Linked DNA regions of Macaca fascicularis. The protein of the gene in region 4 interacts with the protein of the main gene of each other region in a pairwise test. Links are inferred from orthologs where the notes say so. Each region holds a gene or a part of one and is shown on either strand. Other genes may lie near its edges. The genes, in order: TRIM10, TRIM54, CREBZF, TTC23, LZTS2 and MAGED1.

Region 1 (4,263 bases), on a different chromosome or scaffold from region 4:
CAGATGGTGGGATGGAGAGGTGGAGACCAAAGAGCAAAAAGTGACCAGGGAACACTTGGAAAAGCATGAACCAGAATTGAGACCTTCTGGTCCTCTGACCTACCTCCCATCTGGGATACGGAGATGTGTGAGTCAGGGAGACATGACTTAGGCAAGGCAAAGATACAAGAGTCACAGGACAGCACAGGTGGGGCAGGGTTCAGGTTCAGGCCTCACCGTCAGGAGCTCCCTTGCTGGCCTCTCATTCTTCTCCTCCAGTTCTTCAATAAGAGTACTAAACCGGCAGATCTCTCCAGCAACCAGGAAATCAAATTCATCCTGTTGCTTCAAGATGTCTCCATCCAGGCTCTCCAGTTGTGCTAAGAGGATGCTCTGCTGTTCCTCTAGAAACTTCCTCAGGTGTGCGAACTCAGAAATCACCTGTTGTCTCTTGGTGGACACCTGAGTCTGAGGGGGCAGGAGGAGAGCCCAAGAGAAAGTTTGCTTCCTCCTTCTCCCTCTGCTCCTCTTCCTCCTACCCTGTCCCCAGGTAGATCTGGAACTGTATCATGGTTTCCTCTTCACCTGTCATCCCATTTCAGGGAGCAAGACTCACAGTGCTGTCTCAGCACCATCTGCTGCAGCTTCTAAAAGAGGGTAGGACTTACAGGAGGTGTAGGAGGAGGTGGTGGGGACACCCTACCTCCTGTCTTGTATGAAAAGCACACTATGTGCGCAGCCCTGAGCTACTTTACAGTCACAGTCTCATTTAATACTTACAGTAATTCAATGAGATCATGATGATTTTTACTCTCCATTTTACAGATAAGTAAACTGAAGTTAGAGAGTTGCTTGAGGTCATAGAGTTAGTGTCAGAGTCAGGATTTAAACTCATAATAACTTCAAAGCCCTATAATCTATGTTGCCTCAGTTTCAGGAAGACATTGGACCTTGAGGAAGGGGAGGAACCTGGGGAAGGGGTGATGACTTACCAGGAGGACTTGCATCCTTTTATTTTCTCTTGACTGGATTTCTTGAATCTCCTCTCTCTCTTTTCTTAGACATTTAAGACACTTATGTATTTGTTCCTGGGGAGAAGGAACATAAAATACTCAAGATGGATATTTATTTGTTCAGGGTTGTCTTGTCATCTGAGCCTCTGCCTCCAGGAATGAAGTGGCCCCAGGAGAGGAGTCTCTTCCTTAGCTGACAATCCCCGAGCCTCCACCACCCTGACAGCTTAGTCCCTTTAGGTCTGTTCCTCTTGATTTGTCTCCACGACTTTGGGTCAGGACTTTCCCCTTTCTCCTGTGCCACTAGAGGCTGTGACTTGGTTTTCGCACTTGAGTCTTTCTTCAGGTTAAACATTCTATTGTGTTTTGCTTCGGGTAAGTGGTATCTGGGGTCTGTCCTGAGTTTGATATGCCCTGCACTGAAATCATTCCAGTTTCCAACACATCCCAAAGGAACATGTGTAAATAATAACCCTCCCTTGTTACTGGAATCAATTATCTGTGTATGACTCCAAAGGGGAGAAGAAACTTGGGTAATGTAAAAATAATTGATAAATTGTTTTCAAAATTATTTGCTCCAGAATAGAGTTAGGAACAGGTACACATACATTATAAATATGTGTGTTCAAAGACATATTAGAAATCTCACTATCAGTTGCTAATTAACTAATTAAGACATCCACACACAGACTTGTACTAAAACACAATTCATAAACATAATGCATAAACAACTAAAACTAGCACACACTCATTTAATGACAGATAAAATGGCATGCCACATATATTTACCCAACCTGAATATATGTAAACATGAATTTTTCACAAACAGGAGCTCTCAGTTACACTCACACACTCAAATACATACATACTCAGACTCCCACACAAACACACCAGGCACACATGCAAATGTTAACATGCAAACATGTTAACATGCAAACATCTAAACATGCAAACGTTAACACATATACACACTGTTTGTACAATCATTCCCTCAGATACAAACTTCAGACACACCTGATCCATGGCACAGACATACACACTCATGTTCTGGTCACTCATTCATTCAACAAGTATTTGTTGAACTCCCATTATCTGTTGGCCACAAGTGAATACAGAACACACTCAAAAAAACATAAAACATAAACATAATTTTCCATGCCTGGGTCTATTGCCTGGGTGATCATGTAAGTCAGGAGAAAGAATTTGGCCTCCGGGTGGCCTAAATAATCCACAACTCTGCTGTTTCTGTTAGTGCTGTCCAGTCCACCCTGGGATCCCCCAGTTCCCCCTTCCTACCCTATAGGGAGCCGCCGCATCCTCTAGGAAGCGCATAGTGTGGGCAGCATGCTCTCCAGCCTCCCGGCACATCACGCACAACTGCATCTCATCATCCTCACAGAAGAAGTAGATCTTCTCTCCGTGCTCCTGGCAGGCATCCTCCTCTCCCAAACCCAGTGTGGACACCAGCTGGAGGCGCTCGATGTTCTCCACCACGTTAGCCAGCTGCCAGTTGGGCCGGAAGCTCCCAGGACGGAAGGGTTCTTTGCAGAGTGGGCAAGTAGGGGACTCCTCCAGGTCTGGGCCTGGGATCTCACAGTAGCGAGTAAGGCAGCCCCGGCAGAAGTTGTGGCCGCAGTCGATAGTGACCGGCTCCCTCAGGGTACCCTGGCAGATGGGGCAGTTGACTTCATCTGCCAGGCTGGTCACAGAGGCAGCAGAGGCCATGCTGCTATGGCTTCCTCAAGGCCACCCTCTCCGCTTGGCCACGGGGGAAGGGCTGGGCCACACACTCACACACCCACATGTGCACATGGCTGGACACAGGTACATATTAAATATGCACCAGCACCCATATCGTCACACACTTGCATATCTGGCAGCCAGGATTCTATTCTCCTGCCAACAGCAGAGATGGGAAATAGCAGAGGAGAGGAAGGAAGAGGGGCTCACAGCATTTCAGAGGTGATCTTAGATGACCATAACCAGGGGCTGGCCATTCCTTTCCGTCCATCTAAATACACTCACAGTAGAAGGAAAGTGGTGATATGTCAGCTGTCCACTGTCAAAAGAAATATTCTTTTGGGGGCAGGTGGGAGACTGGGTCACAGAGTGGAGATGCCACTCCAGCCTTCCTGCAATATGGCCAGCTGTCTCCAAAGAGATTGGAGGTATCAGCCAGCCCAGGGCTTGCCCATCAGCAAGCAGGAGAGTGTGAGGCTCAGATAAGGTCCTTGTGCCAGGGTGTACACTGCACCAGCAACTGAAATGGTGATGCCTCAACTGGCCTGCCGCAAGCCTCGAAAGAGGCTGGAATATTCCCTATGCTGGGGAGGAGAAAGAAAACTAGCAATGGCCAGAATTTATTTACAATGACGGTACATCTTACACTGATATAAGCAATTTAAAAGTATGATCTTATTTTTGTGTCTGCTCTGCAACATCAGTGCTATTAGGATCTCCATTTTATAAATGAGAAAGCTGAGGCCCAGCCAGGTTATTCAGCTTGCCCAAGGCACACAAGTAAGAAGGTGAGTGACCATAAATAATTTGCTGTCAGATCTATGTCTTCCAAGCAATGCCATTCAACATAAATGCAATGTGAGCCACATATGCAATTTAAAATTTCCTAGGAGCCATATAAAAATAGTCTAAACAGGTGAAAGTAATTTTAATGATTTTTTTATTTGGTCCTATATTTCCAAAATATTATCATTTCAATATGTGATCCTTATAAAAAGTTATTAATAAGACATTTTACATTTTTTAATTTGTGCAAAGCCTTTGAAATCCAGTGTGTTGGCCAGGCGCGGTGACTCATGCCTGTAATCCCAGCACTTTGGGAGGCCGAGGTGGGTGGATCACAAGGTTAGGAGATCGAGACCATCCTGGCTAACATGGTGAAACCCTGTCTCTATTAAAAATACCAAAAAAAATTAGCCGGGCGTAGTGGCGGGCACCTGTAGTCCCAGCTACTCGGGAAGCTGAGGCAGGAGAATAGTGTGAACCCGGGAGGCAGAGCTTACAGTGAGTCGAGATCGCACCAATGCACTCCAGCCTAGACAACAGAGCGAGACTCCATCTCAAAAAAAAGAAAAAGAAAAAGAAAAAAAAATCCAGTGTGTATTTTATATATACAGCACGCCGCCATTCAGACCGGCCACATTTCAGTGCTCAGTAGACACATGTGACTGGTGGCTCCTGTGTTGGACAAATTGGCTCCTGGGCTGCACTTGTGGCAGGAAAAGCAGAGATCGGGTGGGAAGGGGAGGAG
Region 2 (4,059 bases), on a different chromosome or scaffold from region 4:
GCTCATCTTTCCGAGGGAGATCTACTGAGATATATTGAGATATACAGACTTGAGTGCAGCTGAAGAACTGGGTCAGCCTCCCACCAGGCCCTCCCAAATAAGCAGCAAGGGATGAGCTCTTCACTCTTCCTCCTTGGAGGGGCCAGGGCTGCTCTGCACCTCAAACGACACACATCACTCCAGACCCACAGGGCCACCCCAAAGCCCTGGGTATCACGTTATCTCCAAATATTCTGTACAGGGTTTGCCCCAAGCCATTCCAAGGTCTCTCTGAGCCCAGATCAGTATTCCAGAGCTTTCTGGAACTGAAACAGTGTGCTTGGGTAGAAAGGGTTGACTTAAACAAGCATGTCACTTGAACACATTCTAGCCTCCATGTATGGGGACTGCTCCTGGGCCCCTCTGCCAGACGACAGAGGCACCCAGGAATGCTCTTGGACATTCTGACCACTTTTCTATAGGACACGTCACCTTAACTTTCAAAACTTCTCTTTGTTTTCACACATTTCAAGTTCCAGTGAGAGGATGTTTCACTGTCAGTTCATGAGAAATGATGGCAAAATCTTTCCGCCATTTCCTCCTAGGCATCTCAGCCTGAAGGATGTTCGGAATTCCTCAGACCAAGGAAACACCAAGATGGTGGGCAAAGCATTGCCTCTCATGCAGGACTTCATGCCCAGGATGAGGAGGCATAGCATTTGGTCTGGGTCCCCCGAGACGGAAAATCTACTGCCTCTGAGATACTCTGGAGCTGAATAATGGCAGGTTTGGACACATAAAAGAATAGGAGAGGGAATGGGCCTCAATGGGAAGATGGCAGGAGAGACCACAGAGTGCTGGTCTGCAGTGAAGATGACACACAGCAGACATACAAGGGGCGGGTCACAGGGTACATCGTGGGATGGCGGGACCTAGCCAGTCCATTCCTTTCCCAAACAAGCTGCCCCGAGGAACTTAAGAGGGAAGTATTTTCTTGGTTAGGTTAAAAATCCCTTGTGTTTAACACATTTCCTCATCATTTCTGACACTGAAGAATACTTGTTTGGGATGTTCCGTATCACTGACACACATACTAAGCCAGCTCTGGTCTATTCAGGGTTTGTTTTTGTGTTTTTGAGACAGAGTCTTGCTCTGTCACCCAGGTCAGAGTACAATGGCATGATCTCGACTCATGGCAACCTCCGCCTCCTGGGTTCAAGTGATTCTCCTGCCTCAGCCTCCTGAGGAGCTGGGACTACAGGCGCCTGCCACCACGCCTAGCTAATTTTTGTATTTTTGGTAGAGATGGGGTTTCACCATATTGGCCAGGCCGGTCTCGAACTCCTGACCTCGTGATCCGCCGGCCTCGCCTCCCAAAGTGCTGGGATTACAGGCGTGAGCCACCACGCCCGGCCACATTCAGAGCTTTTGCTTAATCGGCAAGGCCGCGTGTGTGTGTGTGTGTGTGTGTGTGTGTGTGTGCCTTTGCCCCTCACCCTGATCTCTGTTCCATTTCATAGCCTACTAGAACCTCCCCGGTAGCACAGGAAAAGAAAAAAAAGCCCACTTATAATCCATTCTGGTATATGCAGCTTTTATTTCTAAACCAGTGGCTAAAATGGTATCTGTGAATTTGATTAGCTATGCTTGGCTCCATGACCACAAATAAACCAAAACTGGCTAGACTTCTAAAAGTAAATTTCTTTGCCTTCTCTCTTCTTGTCAAGTGACCTCAATAGCTTTGAACCAGTAGGCCTCTTTACTCAACAATCTGGAGGTAACAGGTATGAACTCAAGTTGGGGAGAGTTCCCAGTCTCCTGCCCACTGCGTCTAACTCTGTCCCCCACAACGGATGCCCTGAACTTTCCTTAAACACGAATCGTTTTACTGCCATTATGGAGCTTTCTCACAGGGTTGGGTTTTTTCTGTTTGTTTTTTAATGTTTCATTATCTCATTAATCTTTTCTCCGTATTTTCCGCAATGCTCTCAAAGTGTGAAACTCCAAACTGGAATGCAGAGTCTGGCACAGGCTCTTAAAAGGCCGGTGTAGGATCCCCTCCCTCCCAGTTTCCACAGGGTCTCCTTTCCTCAGCAGATCCCAGCACTCCAGCTGCCGTCTATGGACAGGCTGTACCTGCCAGCCTGCAGGGCAGCTGCTGACTCATGCTTGCTCTGGGATTTGCTTGGACCCCAGCCCTTCTGCTCTCCAGCCACAACAGCCACCACCTACCTCAGAGAGCACTCTATCCATCACTTTCTGGGGTCTTAGCTCTGACCTGATCAGTCCCCCACAGGTCTGCATTGCTTTACCTGGCCCTGCCCCATCCCTGGCGCCCACCTGGAAGACGTCGTTGGCACACTTGCGGCACAGGTTGTGTTGGCAGGGCAGGATCACCACTGGTTTGGAGAACATCTCCAGGCAGATGGGGCAGATGAGCTGCTTCTCCAGGTTGTCCATGCTGTGTGCATCCCCTAGCAGCGGCTTGAAACCCACGGTGAAGTTCATCCCCTCGGTGGTTGTGCCTACCCTGGCTTGGGTCCTGCTCCTGGCCTTCACTCACTGTCTGTAGACCCTTCCTCACTCAGACGGCCTGTGGATTCCCTTCTGTGGCTCACTCTTGAAATAGCTCTGCTCTCTCTCCTGTCCCTTTAACAACTTGTCTCGTCCCAGATAGCAGTCTTCAGACACTTCTGTCTCTACTTTCTGCTCTGCACCCTCGGCAGGCTCACGTAGTTTTAGCTATCCCTCTCTCTCTGTAAAGTCCTCCTTTTGTTTCCCAAATGACTCTCTCTTGTTCACTCTGTGGGTAGCACTGTTTGTCCCTTACTCCCCAGAGAGGAGATTAATTTTACTGTGGGGGTGGGGAGACAAGGGGCATCTGCATGACATTCCAATTCCCAATTTAGCTCATGTAAGGCGAGCCACAGCTGTCACGGAGTGAGTGACCCTGACTCACTCAGGAATGGGTGACTCCCCTGAGCAAGGGCAGGGGCAAGCACCACTGCTTACGGTGAAAGGTGGGTCAGCAAAGGTGCTGCCCTCTCACTCTGAAGGCTCCTCTGAGCCCAGGACCCCTGCTCTGGCTTGGGCCCTTCTTCCAGGACAGTGACACAGAATCTAAATCTGCCTGTGTGAGAAGCACCCATACATAGCTCAGGGTGGGAGGAAAGATCTTGCCAGACTTAGAGTCAGTAGCAGTTGCCTCCTCCACAGGCTCAGCCAGTGACCCTGGTCCTCCTCCTCAAGACTGTGTGATTCAGAACAGCAGCTCCAGAGACTCCATCAAGCCTCTTGTCCAATACCTCTGGCTCATTTTTGTTCTTGCCTGCCTTTTCTTATATCACCCTAGGAAATGAAGCTCAAGAGGCTAGAAATGAGTACTGTGCCAAGGCCTGGACCTACCTATGAGCATGCGCCCGAGGAAATGTGGGATTCTGGTTCGTGAACACATCCCTGGAGCCACTCTAAGGACTTCAAATTTGTTAGGAAATTGGGAGAAGGTGAGCTGGGCAGAAAGGACATGAATGCCAGGGACCTATTTTGGGCACCCAGGGAATCAACCTCCAGGGAAATTTTAGAGCACTGACAAAGTCATAATCATAAGGCTCCAGGAAGCCTCTGCCCCAGCTCCACAGTTGTCCAGGACTCCTCCTCTCCAAGCCAGGCTCGCCCCAGTTGTGAGCACTGGTCTTCTTTTTCTCCTACAGGTCTTTTTCTCCACTTGATATTAGCCAAAAAGCCAAGAAGCAATTTCTTTAGGCCTTTTTCCTCCACCCCAGACACAATTTGTCTTTTCTGGGTCCAAAATATGCCTTGGGATTGGACAAAAGCTCTTTTATTTACCGCCATTCTTTAGCCCTTCTCCCAGTCCAGGAAGAGAAGTCTGAGGAGTTAGTAGCTAGTGACCCTGAGTGGGTAGGAAATACACGGTGTGAGGAGGATACGAAACAGCAGCACAAAGAGGCAAGAGTGGGAAAAGAGTCCAGAAAGTGCAATCTTCTCCGGATCACATATTTCATGCCCCTATTTTTGAGAACAAATTATATGTCAATTGGCCTGCATAAGATGTGAAAAGGA
Region 3 (4,210 bases), on a different chromosome or scaffold from region 4:
ATTTTAAAAATAAAAAACAGCAGAAGCCCTGATATTACCTCTTTTTCCTCATTTCTTATACTACCTTTTAAAATAAAGCAGGAAATGTGGCCAGCAGCTGGTCCCGTCTCTTCTGCCCCAACAGCTGTATCCACTTTAGCACAAAGAAAAACAAGGATGCTAAATACGTATATACTTTATCAAGCAGTGATGTTTCACAAAGAATTTCTTAATGCCTCTTACACTGAAGGACACCATAACTCAATTTATACAAATGGTTAATAGATTCAAGGGAAGAATAAATCCCACCTTTGGGAAAATAGTGCCAATCGTGTTATTTAAGTGGCCAGAAGCACTCAATTTAAAAAATTATTCTAAAATAAGACAAATACTTTTGAAATACAGAGAATAAGATTCTTTGTGAAGCCTCACTTTACACGTTTTCATTCACATTTCACAACCTTCAATATCTAATCATACATATATAAATTTAACCTAAAATTTTAATACAACAAAAATAAAGATGTTCAACAATTTATTCATACTCAGTGATAGGGTAATCACTGCTGGTCCTCAAAGAAATATTAACCATTCTTATTCTCGAAGTAACTAAAACACAGAAGTCTGATATGCATGTTAATTTCCAACTTCTCTAATGGTGAGATACTAAAATCTGTTACTCCGTATAGACTGTTTCTATATCTCCTACTGAAAACTAAAAGGCATTGATATTTCAGAGGTACCTGTCACCTCCAGCAAAATAACTATCACATTTGTGCATGCCCCAAATACTTATTGTCAACCTCTGAAAAGTTGCCCTAAAATCGGAATTCCAATTTGCACCTTGTACAACTCGGAACTTCCATTCAACTTCACCTGTTTCACTGTCTCCAAACTGTATCTCTATAAGCAGGTTTCAGTGTACAGTTGGAACCGATGTCATCCAAGGCCATGTCCACACTGGGGACAGAAGAGCTAGGTACACGCAAGTCTGAATAAGGGGACACATTAATAGCTATTTCAACCAGAAGAGGCATCTTAAATACATTCTTGACCAGCACAAGTCTGTTTCCAGGGTGGACAGGGCCCAAATTAGATTTCCCTCCCACCTTCCAAAACAGGAAAAAAAAAAACCACACACACACAGACTGAGATGTTGCCCATTAAAGTAGACTAAGCAGCAGAGCATGAGCGTTACGGGAAGAGATGGATCCTTACCAGGTTGTGAGGCGGGAACGACTGTTCTGTAACCCCTACAACGGAGCCTGGCAGGAAGGAAATCACCTAAAAAAGAAACTGTCAGAGAGATTTAATAGTCACATGTTATCATTAGGAGTTGGTTACTGTGTCACATTCATGCTTTTAGCTAAACACTTTAAGATTCAATATTACTTTTTTTCTCTCCTCTGAAATGTGTCCGGTGAAGATGTCCCACTAAGGTAAGTTTGACATGGTGTAAGGGAGTTGAAAGGGGTAAACGCGGATAAAGAGCAGATTACTTGACCCTACATTTTAAGAGAAGACGACGCCTTCCGGGCGCACGCCGAGCAGAACTCCACCGACACCTTATCCTTGTCCACATGGAGACAGACTCCTCCCGCCGAGTCGTCCTCTTCCAGCAGGTCCTGCTTCTGCTTTCCCACCGGCAGAGCGTAGTCGTGGTCACCGGCGGGCGAGTCTCTGAAGAGCGAGGTGGTCAGCCGCAGTCCCACGCCGCTCAGCCGGCTCAGCAAGCGAGCCAGTCCAGTCTCGTTGGCTAAGACTGCCCGTAGGTAGCGACTCTCCTCCTGCAGTGCCTGTACGCGTTTGCCCAGCTCCCGATTCTCGGCCCGCAGTTCCTGGTTCTCGGCTGCCAGACCCCGTACTCGACTCTCCAGCCCCATCACGTACTCCTTCTTCTTCAGCCGATTAAGGCGGGCAGCGGCCGCCGCCGCCTTCCGGGGACTCTTTGTCGCCGCCTGGTTGTTGTCGTTACCGCTGCCGCCACCGCCGCCTCCTGGAGACTTTTTCCGCCTCTTTTCGGCGCTGCCACTGTCACTGCTGCTGCTGCAGCCTCCGATACCGTTTAACAGCCTCTGCAGCAGGTCAGAGAAGCGCTGCATTTCAGCAGCCGCGGCCTCATCGTCATCCTCCCCTCTCCACAGGCCGCCGCTATCCGAGCCTCCGCCAGACGAGGAGAGAGGCCCCGGCGAGCTAAGCCCGGGGTCCAAGTGCCAGTCCGGTTGCCGGGGGTCCAGGAGATCCGCCAGTTCCAGCCCAGACAGAAAGTCCATATCCTCCGTTTCTTCTCCGGGGAGGCTGGCGATCGCTTCCTCCTCCATCTCCTCGGGCGAGGGCGCGCGCACGGCCACCCTGCCGCGGCTCCCCCTCCCGGCTTCCAACTCCCCTTCGTCGCCAAGCTGCTGCTTGCGGCCGGGAGATCCGGCCGCTGCTGTCTCCTCCTCCCCCGCTGCCGCCCGGGTGAGGTCCGAGGGCAGCGAGCAGGTTGCAGCCGGGGCTGGGCTCTCACTGCGGGTTGGGGAGTTGCTGCCCGAGGCTGCCAGCAGCTTGGTCAGGCTATGCCTCATGAGGGCCGGCGGCGGGCCGCGGTAGGCCCTGGCCGCTAAGAGTGGGCCTCACGGGCCCCAAGGATCCCGCGCCCCAGGGCGGGTAGCCCCCGGCACTGGCCGAAACGAAATGCAGGGAAAGGTCCGAGTAGCCTCCCGCCTCAGTTGGCTAGTCGACCCCCCGCGCAAGGGCGCAGGAAGGGTCGGGAGAAAGAAGCGGTGAGGCCCACTGATGACTCGACCGCACCACCCAGACAACGGCCTGGCCGGAAGTCAGTGGTTTTCGCCCCAGCCCCGCCCACCGCGTTTCGCGCGCCACCAGGCCGTAATATCGCGAGGTTTTAGGGTGCTTTGGAGTGGGAATAATTCCAGCTTTCTAGTGACATCATAATAACTGCAGCAAAAATAACAACAGACTCTAGATTTATCCACCCTAATTCAATAATACCGCCCAATACCCAGACTCAACAGTTCAACACATTGTTTTGCCATATTTGCTTTATCTTTACATAAATGCTTGTAAATTTTTTTTGCTGAATCATCCTAAAGTTGCAGGTAAGACACCACACCCCTGCGTACTTCAGTGTGCATCTCTAAAACTAAGGACTTTTTTTCATAATCATAATACTATTACCAAGTCTTCAGAAAATTAACAATCGTTTACTAATACTATTTAATACCTGGGCCATACTAGATGTCCTCAGTTGGATAATGGATATGCTAATTACCCTAACCTGATCACTACATTCCATATGTATGGAAACATCACTATGTACCCCATGAATGTGACAGTTATTATTTGTCAATTAAAAAAAAAAAAAAGGAATGTAGAATACAACGTTCCTTACAAAAATTGTCTTCGGTTGTTCATGCCATTTTTTACAAGTAGGTATTTTCACTTGAGCCAAGATCCAATCAGTACTGACTTACTGCATTTGGGTAACGAACAAAAACTCTGACAAATAGAGCCAGAAAAGGCTATGAAGAGAGGGTACTCATACTTGTATGCCTGAAAACAAAGACTGCAAAACTACAACGTTGCACAAAAACCATCACGACCTTATACAAAACCTCTGCAAGGATGTCTGCCCAGAAGCTGCCTGTCCAACCTTGAACTGACGTCACCCTTGTTATTGACCTTTGTAGTCAAGATAATTATTTCAAAACAATGTGTAACCATCCTCATTTTTTTTCCTTTAAAACCCTTTGTCTTCCTTCGTCTTCCTGCATACACACATAGTTTACTATGGCATGCGTTTTCCCATTGAAATGCTCTATTTTCAATGCACATCTTTTATTTTAGAGACCTTTTCTGTTTGTTATTTAGGTTCACATCCCACAAGGGATTTGAGATTTGAAGCAGTTTACAAATACAGATATTTAGGTTCATATCCCACAAGAGATCTGAGATTTGAAGCAGTTTACAAGTACATTAGAATATAGTAAAACAAAACATTTTGAATTTTTAAAAAGCAAGGCCAAAAAAAAGATGAACTAGGAAGAGAAGGAGTTCTGAAAGGGGAAACGGTTAATATTGGAATTGGATGGATGCAATATCTTACTCAGTTGTTTGAGTTGGGCTAAAATTGTTTCCTGACAGCCCAAACAAAAAAAGAGAAATGAATTTTCCTTTGTTCATAAGTAAAGTATATATGAATTCTTTAACCACTTTTCTAGTTCTTAAA
Region 4 (3,500 bases):
GATATATATAACAACGCAATACAATTAAAAATCAGTAACATCAAGATATCTTGAAAACTCTCATAACTGCAAACCAAAACACACATCATTGAATAATCCTTGGACTAAAGAATAATTTATAAATGGAGTTATGAAATACTAAGAAGTTATGACAGTGCTAACGCTTCATGATAAAATATACGGAGTAGAGTTAAAGTAGGTCTTGGAAGGAAATTTTAGAGAATATTTTTGATATTTAGCTGGAAAAGACTTTCTAACCAGACTCCCAGAGCATAAATCATAAGGTGAAAATGAATGGATTTGAGTGAAGCAAAATAATAATAATTTCTAAGCCATGAAGAACACCATAGACAAAATTAATAAGTGGGCAATAGATATAAGAAAATATTTATATCATTAATATTTATAATATACAAGAAAACCCTGATTATCAATAGGAAAGGTACAGGAAACTGTAAAATAAAAATGAGAAGGAATACTAACAGGCAATTCATAGAAGGAGAATCCCAAGTGGCTAAGATGTATATGAAAAGTATTCAAACTCACTAATAGGAGAAATATAAACAGAACTTAAATAATTAGATAGCACGTTATATGCACCAGGTTGGCAAAGATCAACAATGTCAAATATTGCCAGGGGTGTGCTAGGAACCCACCCGCTCTGCAAGTGGGAATGCAAATGCAGATGGGTGTCGTGGTTGGCTGGTGCTTGGTGCACTTAAAGTTTGTTTGTACTCAGTACCACCCCTGGAATATAAACCTCAGAAAAGCAATACCACCCCTGGGATATAAACCTTAGAAAAAGTGTCGCTTAGCCATATAAGTGAAGCTGTGTAAGAATGGTCATGGCAGCACTGCTGTGGCAGCAGAGAGCTGGGGACAAGCTGAATGTCTATTGTTAGGAGGATGGACAAACAAAACGCAACAAATGCATTTTATGGAGAATTATACAGGAACCAGAAGCAATGAACTAAAATCCAGGCAACAATCAAAACATGTTGAGTGGAAAACAGTAACAAGCAGAATGACACATATGCTACAAATTTATAGGAATTTTCTCTTTCTTTCTCTCTTTCTCTTTCTCTCTCTCCCACCCCCCCCGCCCCTTTCTTCCTTTCTTCCATTCTTTTTGTTTGAGACAGAGTCCTACTCGGTCGCCCAGGCTGAAGTGCAGTGGTGAGGTCTCGGCTCATTGCAGCCTCTGCCTCCCAGGTTCAAGCAATTTCTCCTGCCTCAGCCTCCTGAGTAGCTGGGATTACAGGCATGCGCCACCATGCTCAGCTAATTTTTGTATTTTTAAGTAGAGATGGGGTTTCACCATGTTGGCAAGGCTGGTCTTGAACTCCTGACTTTGTGATCCACCTGCCTCAGCCTCCCAAAGTGCTGGGGTTACAGGTGTGAGCCACTGTGCTCAGCCAAATTTATAGCAATTTTAAACACATAAATATGTAAAACAATACTATTTGTTACTCAGAGATACATACTCAAAAACATAAGCCATCATTAAAGTATTTATCTATGATGTGTGTGTAGGAGAATGAGAGAAAAAATCAGAAATGAAGGGAAAAAATTAATTTAAAAATCCATACCGGAGAATTTGCACAGATGAATGAGCTCTGCACTTGCAGTTCAAAAACCACTCAAGAAAAACAAAAGAACAAGGGGAATTGTGATCACAAAAGAAATACCTTTAACTGGATGAGTCAAAGTTGGTTCTTCCCACTTTCCATTCACATGGAAGCATTAGGTGTGTTCTCCTGGGGCCCTTTCCTAGCAATTTTCTTAAAATGATTCCGTGGGTTCTCTGAGTTGTCTTGGGAATCAACCTACACATACAATCTAGTTAGGAAGGTAAACTGAACTCTTCCAGGTTTGGCTGAGGGAAGCCATGTAGGTCAACTGGGATTCTCTGCCTCTTCCAACACAGACCTTTCTTCATCTTTTCCTCTGCACAAGTCCATCTTTCCAAAGAGTGTGGGCAAACTTTGTCACCCCAATACTCTGAGGAATTGGCTTAGGTTGCCCTTTGGAGAGAGATAAAAGTACTAACTATGCAGAACCTTCTCTTCATATCTCTTCCAGCTGAGTTTACTTGGTGAGTATGGAGTAAGGCGAGGAACAAAGAACAATCCTTTCATTATCATGGATTCAGATAGTTTAAGATCTTTCTCCTTTTAGGTTTTCATCATAAAAGCAACCCGTTGAAGCATTTTAGACCAGAGCAGGGCAGGGAAAAAAGGAATGGAGGGAGGAAGAGAAGGGTGTAGGGGCTGGGGGTGAGGAGGGAGAGCAGGTAAAAAGAAAGTCAAGAGAATAATGATCAGAACTCTGGGACCCAGGGTGGATATGAGGGCACTCCATAGAGAGTGAAAAGTGTCACTGATGGATGCCTTGGTTGGGGCTGCTCTGACATGACTGTGCTCCTCTTTTACTTTTACACAGTGGCCTCCGGAGAAGCCATAGCCGCAGCCTCATGGAGATGCTCCTCCTACCTGAGACAGATTCTACTGGCAAAGAGCCTCCAGCCATCATGTAAGCAAAATCCTAAACTTGAAACTTACTGTGCAAATGATAATCTGATCCGTGCTTCAATTTCTATCCATTCTTCCTTTATAATCCTTCCACATTGTAGCAGCTCCTTTGAAAGTCTCTCTGCTTTTGTCAAATTCTCTGAAGCTTCCTTAAAACTAAATTGTGTTCAGGAAACTTTCCACTTGGTTCTAGATTCTACACCCCATGTCCTGAACTTCCTTGGTTCCCATACTTCCAATCACACTTCCTAAGTCATCCATCAGCATCAGCTTTTTACTTGGCATATAAGTATTATATGAATAGTATTTCTATTTGTAAAAGTTAGAGGCAAAAGGATACTTGTGAAGGGAGAGTAAAGCTCTGCCCATGGTATGGAAAAGCTCAATGGAAAACTTGAAAACATCTGTATTCTCGTTATAGGGAGGCACAATGGAGTTGGCGAGGATTTGTTTGGCTTTTTCTGCATGTTGTTTCGCTTGCAGTGACAGTCCTGTGGACAAAGAAAAAGAGGTCTCAGTTTCTCTTTCATCTCAACTGGACAGGAATACAGTTCTCTACAGTCTGAGAATCTAACAAGGTCTCCTTCACATATTGTCAAATGGCACATGGAGATGTATCTGGGCAGCATGAAACACTGTCGTGACTGTAACAACCAAAGAAGTGTTTTATACCAAGTACTCAAGATAAATTTTCCCCCAATGGCCTTTTTAGAAATAAACAGAATGAGCTGGAATTGAACAACTTTGAAACTTCACCAATATCAGAAGTAAAATATGTTACATATAATTATAAGAAACAAATTGAATACAAGAACTACAGCATTCTGGGCAGGAAATAAAATATTCACGAATTTTAATCCTGGCTGTGTAACTGCAATCGTAATGAAATACTAAAAATTCTGAATCTTCAGCTCACCCACCTATAATTACAACGTCAGAGAGTTATTTTTTAACATAATGCATATCTGA
Region 5 (3,500 bases), on a different chromosome or scaffold from region 4:
AGCTCCTGCTCTAGCTGCCGGTTGCGCCGGTACATCTGGATGTAGTTGTGCTGCAGCTGCTTCTGGTAGCGGATCACCTGCTCCTTCTCTGCCTGCCAGGCCAGCCGCTCCCCTTCAAAGCTGTCCCGCTGCTCCTCACCCCGCCGCCGCTCCCGCTGCAGCTCCACCCGCAATCGCTCCACCTGGGCCCGCAAGCTGCCCCCAACCCCGGCTGCTGCCCGCTGCACTTTGGCCTCATCACTCTCTGCCAGGAGGAATGGGTCAGCGGTGGCAGGTGGCACAGCCGGCTCCCGGAGTCCAGCCGCCTCAGCATCCAACTGCCCAGCTTTCTCCCGCAGCCGCTCGGCTTCCTGGCGGTGTCGCTGCAGCTCCTGGGAACAGGCTTCCAGCTCCAGCTCCCGAGCTCGGGCGGCCTCCTGTAGACCCCGCGCACGGCCCTCACTGACCCGCAGGGTAGCACGGGCCTCCCGCAGTGCCACCCGCAGGGCCACCAGCTCGCTGCCCTTCTGCACCAGCTCTGCCTGAGACTCCTTCAGCTGCTGCTTCAGCAGGGAGATCTCGCCTGATTTCTGGCACACCTGGGGGTGGGAGGCAGTGGGGAAGGATGGTGAGACAGGTTCTCCTGGGGGGACAGGCCCTGTGCATCATGCTGGGCATTCGGGAGGAGAGTCCATCTTTATCCCCATTTTATAGATGGAGACACTGAGGCAAGTCTAGTGACATGTCCAAGGTCATAGAGTGAAGATGTGGCTTAAGTGGAAAGCAGACATAGATTTTTTTGCTTCAAAGTTGGTGTCTTCAAAGCATCACGAGACACTGTGGAAGTACCACCGAGCCCTGGGGACTGGGTGCTGGCAGGTGCTGCAGGAGTGGGGGCAATGGAGGGCAGTACCCAGGTGTCTACTGGAGAGGTACTACAGTGACTTGGTTAAGAGCTCAGATATTGGAGCCAGACTGCCTGGGTTCAGATTTGGCACTCCAGTCTTTCTGGGCCTCAGTTTACTCATCTCTAAAATGGGGAGACTAGTGGTAGCCCCCTCAGTGTTGTTACAAGGATGAAATGATCTGTCCCATGTAACATGCTTAGAAGAGTGCCTCCACACCACAAACACCACATTCTTACTACTGGCTGGAGCGTGGCTTTGTGCCACTAGACAAGGCCAACAAGGAGACCCTCCTCCCAGAAAGGAACAGAGGAGAACTTCATCTCACGGAGGTGAGGAAGGGGAGGACCTCTGGGGGTGGCAGGCTGAGGGAGGGTGCGGCTGGGCCCCTTTTTCCAGGGTTTCTCCCTGTGTGACCCTGCTCCCTGCCCCTCCTGGTCTGGCCCACCTCCCACTTGGTCTCCTCAAGCCTTGGCCCGAGCTCCCGCTGCTCCCGCTCCAAGGTGGCGCAGCGCCGCTCCAGCTGTTCACGCTCCTGCAGCAGCTGTGCAAAGTCATCCTGCAATTGCCGCTTCTCCTGCTGCAGCTGGAACACCTGCAGCTGCAGCAGCTGTTGGGCCCGCTGTGCCCGCTGTGCCTGGGCTGCACAGTCCTCTCGCAGGGCCTCGCGCTCTCGCTGCCAGTGCCGCTGCCGCTCCTCGTATGCCTGCAGGCGAGAAGACAGACCCAGCTCCTGGGCAGTTTTCCCAACTCCCCACTCAGTGTCTGCCTGGCGGCCCACTTCTGAGGGCTCAGGAAGGGTGTATTCCATCAAACAACAATAGTAATTGCAACAATACTAACTGCTTTTATAATGATCATAGAAACAAACACAAGAGCAAGCAGACCGGGCTCGGTGCCTCACGCCTGTAATCCCAGCATCTTGGGAAGCCGAGGTGGGTGGATCACTTAAGCTCCGGAGTTCGAGACCAGCCTAGGCAACACAGCAAAACCTTGCCTCTCCAAAGAACAAAAATTAGCTTGGTGTGGTGGCGTGTGCCTGTAGTTTCAGCTACTTGGGAGGCTGGGGTGGGAGGACTGCTTGAGTCCAGGAGGTTGAGGCTACAAGGAGCCGAAATCGCGCCACTGCACTCTAGCCTGGGTGAGAGAATGAGACCCTGTCTCAAAAAAAAAAAAAAAAAAGCACTTGGCCGGGTGCAGTGGCTCAGGCCTGTAATCCCAGCAGTTTGGGAGGCTGAGGCGGGTGCCTCACTTGAGGCTAGGGGTTCGAAACCAGCTTGGCCAACATGGTGGGAACCCCGTCTCTACTAAAAATTCAAAAAAAAAAAAAAAAAAGCAAGCATTTATGTATAGCATTTCCTAGATACCAGGCATTAGTCTAAGCACTTTACACCTTTTGCCTTATTTAATCCTCATAACAATCCTATGAAGCTAGAAATATCCCTGTTATAGATGAAGAAATAGAGGCTGAATAAAGTTAAGCAACTTGCTCAAGTCCAAAAACTGGTATTTAGCAGTGGGAGGTTTGAATCCATGCACTCTGACTCCTTTCCACCCCACAAGTTTTGTTTTTTGTTTCTTGTTTTGAGATACAGTCTTGCTCTGTTACCCAAGGCTAGAGTGCAATGGCAAAATGTCAGCTCACTGTAACCTCCTCCTCCTGGGCTCAAGTGATCCTCCTACCTCAGCCTCCCAAATAGCTGGGACTACAGGTACATGCCACCACACTCAGCTAATTTATTTTTAGGAGAGATGGGGTTTCCCCATGTTGCCCAGGCTGGTCTCAAACTCCCGAGCTCAAGCAATCCGCCCACCTCGGCCTCCCAAAGTGCTGGGATTACAGATGTGAGCCACCACGTCTGGCTATTCCACAAATTAAACCAGACAACTGGTGGGGAGGGCAGGGGGGTCACAACTACAACTACCCAACCCCTCTTCCCTGCTAAAATGGAAATGCCCCTTTCATTCCCCAGGCCTTGGGATGTCCTGCCATGCCCCTTCCCCATCATTGCCTCTGACCACACCTGGCACATGGTAGCCTCATTCTCGTCCAGACTGTCCCGCAGCTGCTGAAGCTCTGCCTCCCGCTCTCGGAGCTTTCCTTCCAGGACACAGTGCAGCAGGGCCTCGTCGGAAGGAGGTGGAGGCGGGGGTGGTGGTGAGCGCTCCCCACAGGAGCTGCTGTCAGGGGAGGCCCGGGTACCACTGCCCAAAAGCCCGGCAGCCACACGGCCCCCCAGGGAGCCTGTGCTCTTGCTGGAGGAGGACCGGCCACTGTCTGAGTGGGAGGGCCCAGTAGGGACCCCTCGGGCTGGCCCAGGCAGTGCCCCTCGCCCAGAGCCATGGGAAGGCAGGTGCCCGCCTGGGGAGCTGGTGGCTGGCTCGGCACCTCCGGTGCTGTAGGTGGGCAGGCTGGACAGTGAGTTTCGGCCAGAGTCGGATAGCGTCCCTGATGGGCAGCCACTGGCCCAGCCACTAAATGCCAGGGGTTTGTCAGCAGCTGAAGAGGAGGAGGAAGAAGAGGAGGAGGAGGCAGGGCCCCCAAACAGCTGTGTCAGGCTGCCCTGGCTCCCAGACAGCCCGGTGGCCCGAGGACCCATGAAGCTAGGCAGGGAC
Region 6 (3,339 bases), on a different chromosome or scaffold from region 4:
TCTCTGCTCCTACTCCTGCTGCCCTCCTGGAGTTATTTCACTTTCCACATGGGTTGTATAACCAACACCCTAGAATCACAGGCCATGGACCCCTTATCTCCAGAATAGTCACCTTCTGTCCCTTTCAACTACCTACTCTCTGGACTTTATCATCACCTGGAGTTCCACCTCCGCTGTGTTCTTAAGTGCAACTGTCTGAGCACCTATACCCTCTCTCACTATGCAATTCTCGCAATGTCACTCCAGGACACCTAGCAGCATATCTGTCACATGAGAATCACTTAAGTGATATTTATTGAATAAACTATACAAGTTCTTGGGTCTCGTGTTCATTGATACTGCCTTTGTATCCCAATCCAGTAGCTGGATCTTCCCATATTTCCACCTGCTGAAAGCTGATCTACCCCCTTCAAACTAGAGCCGAGGTCCTGTCTCTCCCACATAAACATGTTGCTCGCTCCCCAAATATAGGGAAAAAAAGAAGCAGAGAGCACATCTAATTCACTTTGCAATTTCAATGTTTATTTCTGATACCAAAACTTGACAGCACACAAGGGGAAAAAAAGCAGTAGACAAGGAACAGCAAATAAATTTATCTTGCATGCCACTTTCAGTCAACACGATGTGGCTCTCTAGATAGCTGTGTTTAGAAGGAATCTGAGGCTTCAGCCTCACACAGGGGAAAGACTATTGCGATTGATAGCAATATCTGTGAACATAAGAAAAAAAAGTAAAAAAATCAATGATATATATCAAATAATAAGGAATATACACACCAAAGAGTGCTGCCCCATACTTTCCTCACCTCCCTACAATGAGTTTCCTAAGACTCCTAGCTCATGCACATAAATACAATCCCATGGACCCTATATCCCCCAGAGACCCTAACTGCCCAATCCAAAGTGATGTACCTACCCAACATCTCACTCAACCCAGAAGAAACCAATGGCACCAAAGTTGGCAGCAAAGTTGGCACCGGCTGTACCACCAGGACCAATAATGGGACCAGCAAAGGTCTGAGGAAATCTGGAGCGGGCGTTCTGGTGGTATCTGGCCCAGAAGGTAAATGGAATTCTGGACCAGGGATCTCCAAAATCTCCTTCCTCATCCCAGGTCAGCAGCTCAAACTCAATATCATCCCAGCTCCAGGGCCCAGACACAGCCTCATCTCCAATTCCCATGCGGGTTCTTGCTTCAGCCCGGGCTTCGGCCTCAGCTGCAGCAGCATCCAGAGCATCCAAGGCCTCATCTGCAGCCTCCATGAACTGTGCAGTCCAGTCACGAGGGTCTCTTTTCTGAACCTGAGATGAGGAATAGAAAACAAAACAAAATCTATTTACAATAGCCAAGATACGGAATCAACCTACGTGTCCATCAATGGATGAATGGATAAGGAAAATGTGATACACACACACACAGTGGAATACTATTCAGCCTTTAAAAAGAAGGAAATTCTGCCATTTGCAACAACATGGATGATGCTGGATGACATTATGCTAAGTGAAGTAAGTCAGACACAGAAAGACAAATACTGCATGACTTCACTTATACATGGAATCTAAAAAGGTCTAACTCATAGAAACAGAGAGTAGAATGATAGTTTCCAGGGCCTGGGGTCAGGAGGGATGGGGAAATATTGGTTAAAAGGTACAAAATTTCAGTTAGATAGGAAGAGTATGTTCTGGAGATTGACCATATAGCATGATGACTATAGTTAATAATAATATGTTGTTTATTTAAAATTGCTAAAAGAGTACATTTTAAATGTTCTCATCACAAAAAAAAAATGTCAAGTATATGAAGCTACGGAGAGTTAACTAGCTTGATATAATCATTCCGCAATGTACATGACATGTATTATCAAAACATCATACTGTGCCCCATAAATATATATACTTTTTATTAGTCAATTAAAAATAAATGAATGTGCTGGGTACAGTGGTTCACGCCTGTAATCCCAACACTTCGGGAGGCTGAGGCAGGCAGATCACTTGAGGTCAGGAGATCGAGACCAGCCTGGCTAACATGGCGAAACCCTGTCTCTAATAGAAAAATAAAAATTTAGCCAGGCATGGTGGTGGCACGTGCCTGTAATCCCAGATACTTGGGAGGCTGAGGCACAAGAATCGCTTGAACCCGGGAGGCAGAGGTTTCAGTGAGCCAAAATCGCGCCACTGCACTCTAGCCTGGGCAACACAGCAAAACTCCATCTCAGGAGAAAATAAATAAATAAAACAAAACAAAATACTTAAAAATTACATTGTACACCATAAATATATACAATTTTTGTCAATTATACTTTAGTAAAGTTGGGAAAAAATAAAAATACTTTAAAAACCTAAAAAAAAAAAAAACCAAAACAAACTCATAATTGTATTAGCTAATATATTAACATATGTTAGCACCTAATGCATGTTAAGTTTACCTAACAACAACAACAAATACCACCAGCAATGCAGCACCTATCACGTGCCATACCTAGGATCTCATTCCTACCCTGGACCTTTCCCAGCCAGCGATACTTCATCCCTTGACCTATCAATGCTGGTTGGCACATTACCTCTGCAATGAATCTCAGCACTTTCATCTTGCTAGTCTCATGGTAGGAACGGAGGCCCCAGAGGAACTCATACTCTGGGGGGTTGCTGTTGGGCACTCGTCTGTAGTCCAGGTATCTGAAAGAGCAAAACAGTCTTTGTGTCTACCTACCCGGGCAGAATGGTAGTCCAGTAATGAAAAATAATCCTACATTTTTTAACATCAGATTTCAAATAGCAACTCCCCCTCGGGCTCATTCCTGAACACCATCAGGGTATTTACCCCTTAATCATCAAGCCTTGAATTCCTGCACCAGAACACTAAGCACTCACTTAGAGCTGCAGGCGACGTTTGTATAGGGTCACAGAAAGGACAACATTTCATTTCACTCCTTCTGCCTCAGCTCTAGCTCCAGATTTTTGTAATCTTGTCAGTGAGCCACAGAGGTCCATTGAAATGATTACAATGTAGTGCAAAAGTGTCAGCCTGGCCCAGCCTTGGGAATGTCTACTGTGGGGATGGTGGATGGGCTTCACTTGCAAGACAACTACTTAGAAAAGTAGAAAAATTAGAAGAATTCTGGCTGGACATGATGGCTCACACCTGTAATCCCAGCACTTTGGGAGGCAGAGGTGGGTGAATTGCTTGAGGTCAGGAGTTTGAGACCAGCCTGGCCAACATGGTGAAGTCCCATCTCTACTAAAAATACAAAAACAGCCGGGCATGGTGGCAGGCACCTGAAGTCCCAGTTACTCAGGAGGCTGAGGCACAAGAATTGCTTGAACCTAGGAGGTGGAAGTT

The links.
Region 1: the proteins of TTC23 (region 4) and TRIM10 interact in binary tests that used the Homo sapiens proteins (3 or more experiments, as listed by UniProt). The two-hybrid records come from large-scale screens. The link is inferred for Macaca fascicularis from reciprocal best matches to the Homo sapiens genes TTC23 and TRIM10.
Region 2: the proteins of TTC23 (region 4) and TRIM54 interact in binary tests that used the Homo sapiens proteins (3 or more experiments, as listed by UniProt). The two-hybrid records come from large-scale screens. The link is inferred for Macaca fascicularis from reciprocal best matches to the Homo sapiens genes TTC23 and TRIM54.
Region 3: the proteins of TTC23 (region 4) and CREBZF interact in binary tests that used the Homo sapiens proteins (3 or more experiments, as listed by UniProt). The two-hybrid records come from large-scale screens. The link is inferred for Macaca fascicularis from reciprocal best matches to the Homo sapiens genes TTC23 and CREBZF.
Region 5: the proteins of TTC23 (region 4) and LZTS2 interact in binary tests that used the Homo sapiens proteins (3 or more experiments, as listed by UniProt). The two-hybrid records come from large-scale screens. The link is inferred for Macaca fascicularis from reciprocal best matches to the Homo sapiens genes TTC23 and LZTS2.
Region 6: the proteins of TTC23 (region 4) and MAGED1 interact in binary tests that used the Homo sapiens proteins (3 or more experiments, as listed by UniProt). The two-hybrid records come from large-scale screens. The link is inferred for Macaca fascicularis from reciprocal best matches to the Homo sapiens genes TTC23 and MAGED1.

The regions. Positions count from the first base shown.
Region 1 is NC_088378.1:142,511,009-142,515,271, reverse strand, and holds the start of TRIM10 (tripartite motif-containing protein 10), read right to left. Parts: upstream 2,801-4,263; 5' UTR 2,718-2,800; coding exon 2,289-2,717; intron 1,068-2,288; coding exon 972-1,067; intron 448-971; coding exon 217-447; intron 1-216. UniProt on the Homo sapiens protein: E3 ligase that plays an essential role in the differentiation and survival of terminal erythroid cells. May directly bind to PTEN and promote its ubiquitination, resulting in its proteasomal degradation and activation of hypertrophic signaling.
Region 2 is NC_088387.1:94,935,227-94,939,285, forward strand, and holds the start of TRIM54 (tripartite motif-containing protein 54), read right to left. Parts: upstream 2,801-4,059; 5' UTR 2,488-2,800; coding exon 2,320-2,487; intron 1-2,319. UniProt on the Homo sapiens protein: May bind and stabilize microtubules during myotubes formation.
Region 3 is NC_088388.1:84,705,634-84,709,843, forward strand, and holds the start of CREBZF (CREB/ATF bZIP transcription factor), read right to left. Parts: upstream 2,801-4,210; 5' UTR 2,547-2,800; coding exon 1,489-2,546; coding exon of another isoform or gene 1,485-1,488; exon of another isoform or gene 1,372-1,484; intron 1,276-1,371; coding exon 1,260-1,275; 3' UTR 1,198-1,259; intron 971-1,197; 3' UTR 856-970; intron 134-855; 3' UTR 65-133; exon of another isoform or gene 1-64.
Region 4 is NC_088381.1:84,112,750-84,116,249, forward strand, and holds part of TTC23 (tetratricopeptide repeat protein 23), read right to left. Parts: intron 3,023-3,500; coding exon 2,872-3,022; intron 2,688-2,871; coding exon 2,562-2,687; intron 1-2,561. UniProt on the Homo sapiens protein: Participates positively in the ciliary Hedgehog (Hh) signaling.
Region 5 is NC_088383.1:109,962,960-109,966,459, reverse strand, and holds part of LZTS2 (leucine zipper putative tumor suppressor 2), read right to left. Parts: coding exon 2,909-3,500; intron 2,022-2,908; exon of another isoform or gene 1,591-2,021; coding exon 1,333-1,590; intron 579-1,332; coding exon 1-578. UniProt on the Homo sapiens protein: Negative regulator of katanin-mediated microtubule severing and release from the centrosome. Required for central spindle formation and the completion of cytokinesis.
Region 6 is NC_088395.1:51,968,158-51,971,496, reverse strand, and holds the end of MAGED1 (melanoma-associated antigen D1), read right to left. Parts: intron 2,676-3,339; coding exon 2,561-2,675; intron 1,302-2,560; coding exon 924-1,301; 3' UTR 916-923; intron 710-915; 3' UTR 501-709; downstream 1-500. UniProt on the Homo sapiens protein: Involved in the apoptotic response after nerve growth factor (NGF) binding in neuronal cells. Inhibits cell cycle progression, and facilitates NGFR-mediated apoptosis. May act as a regulator of the function of DLX family members.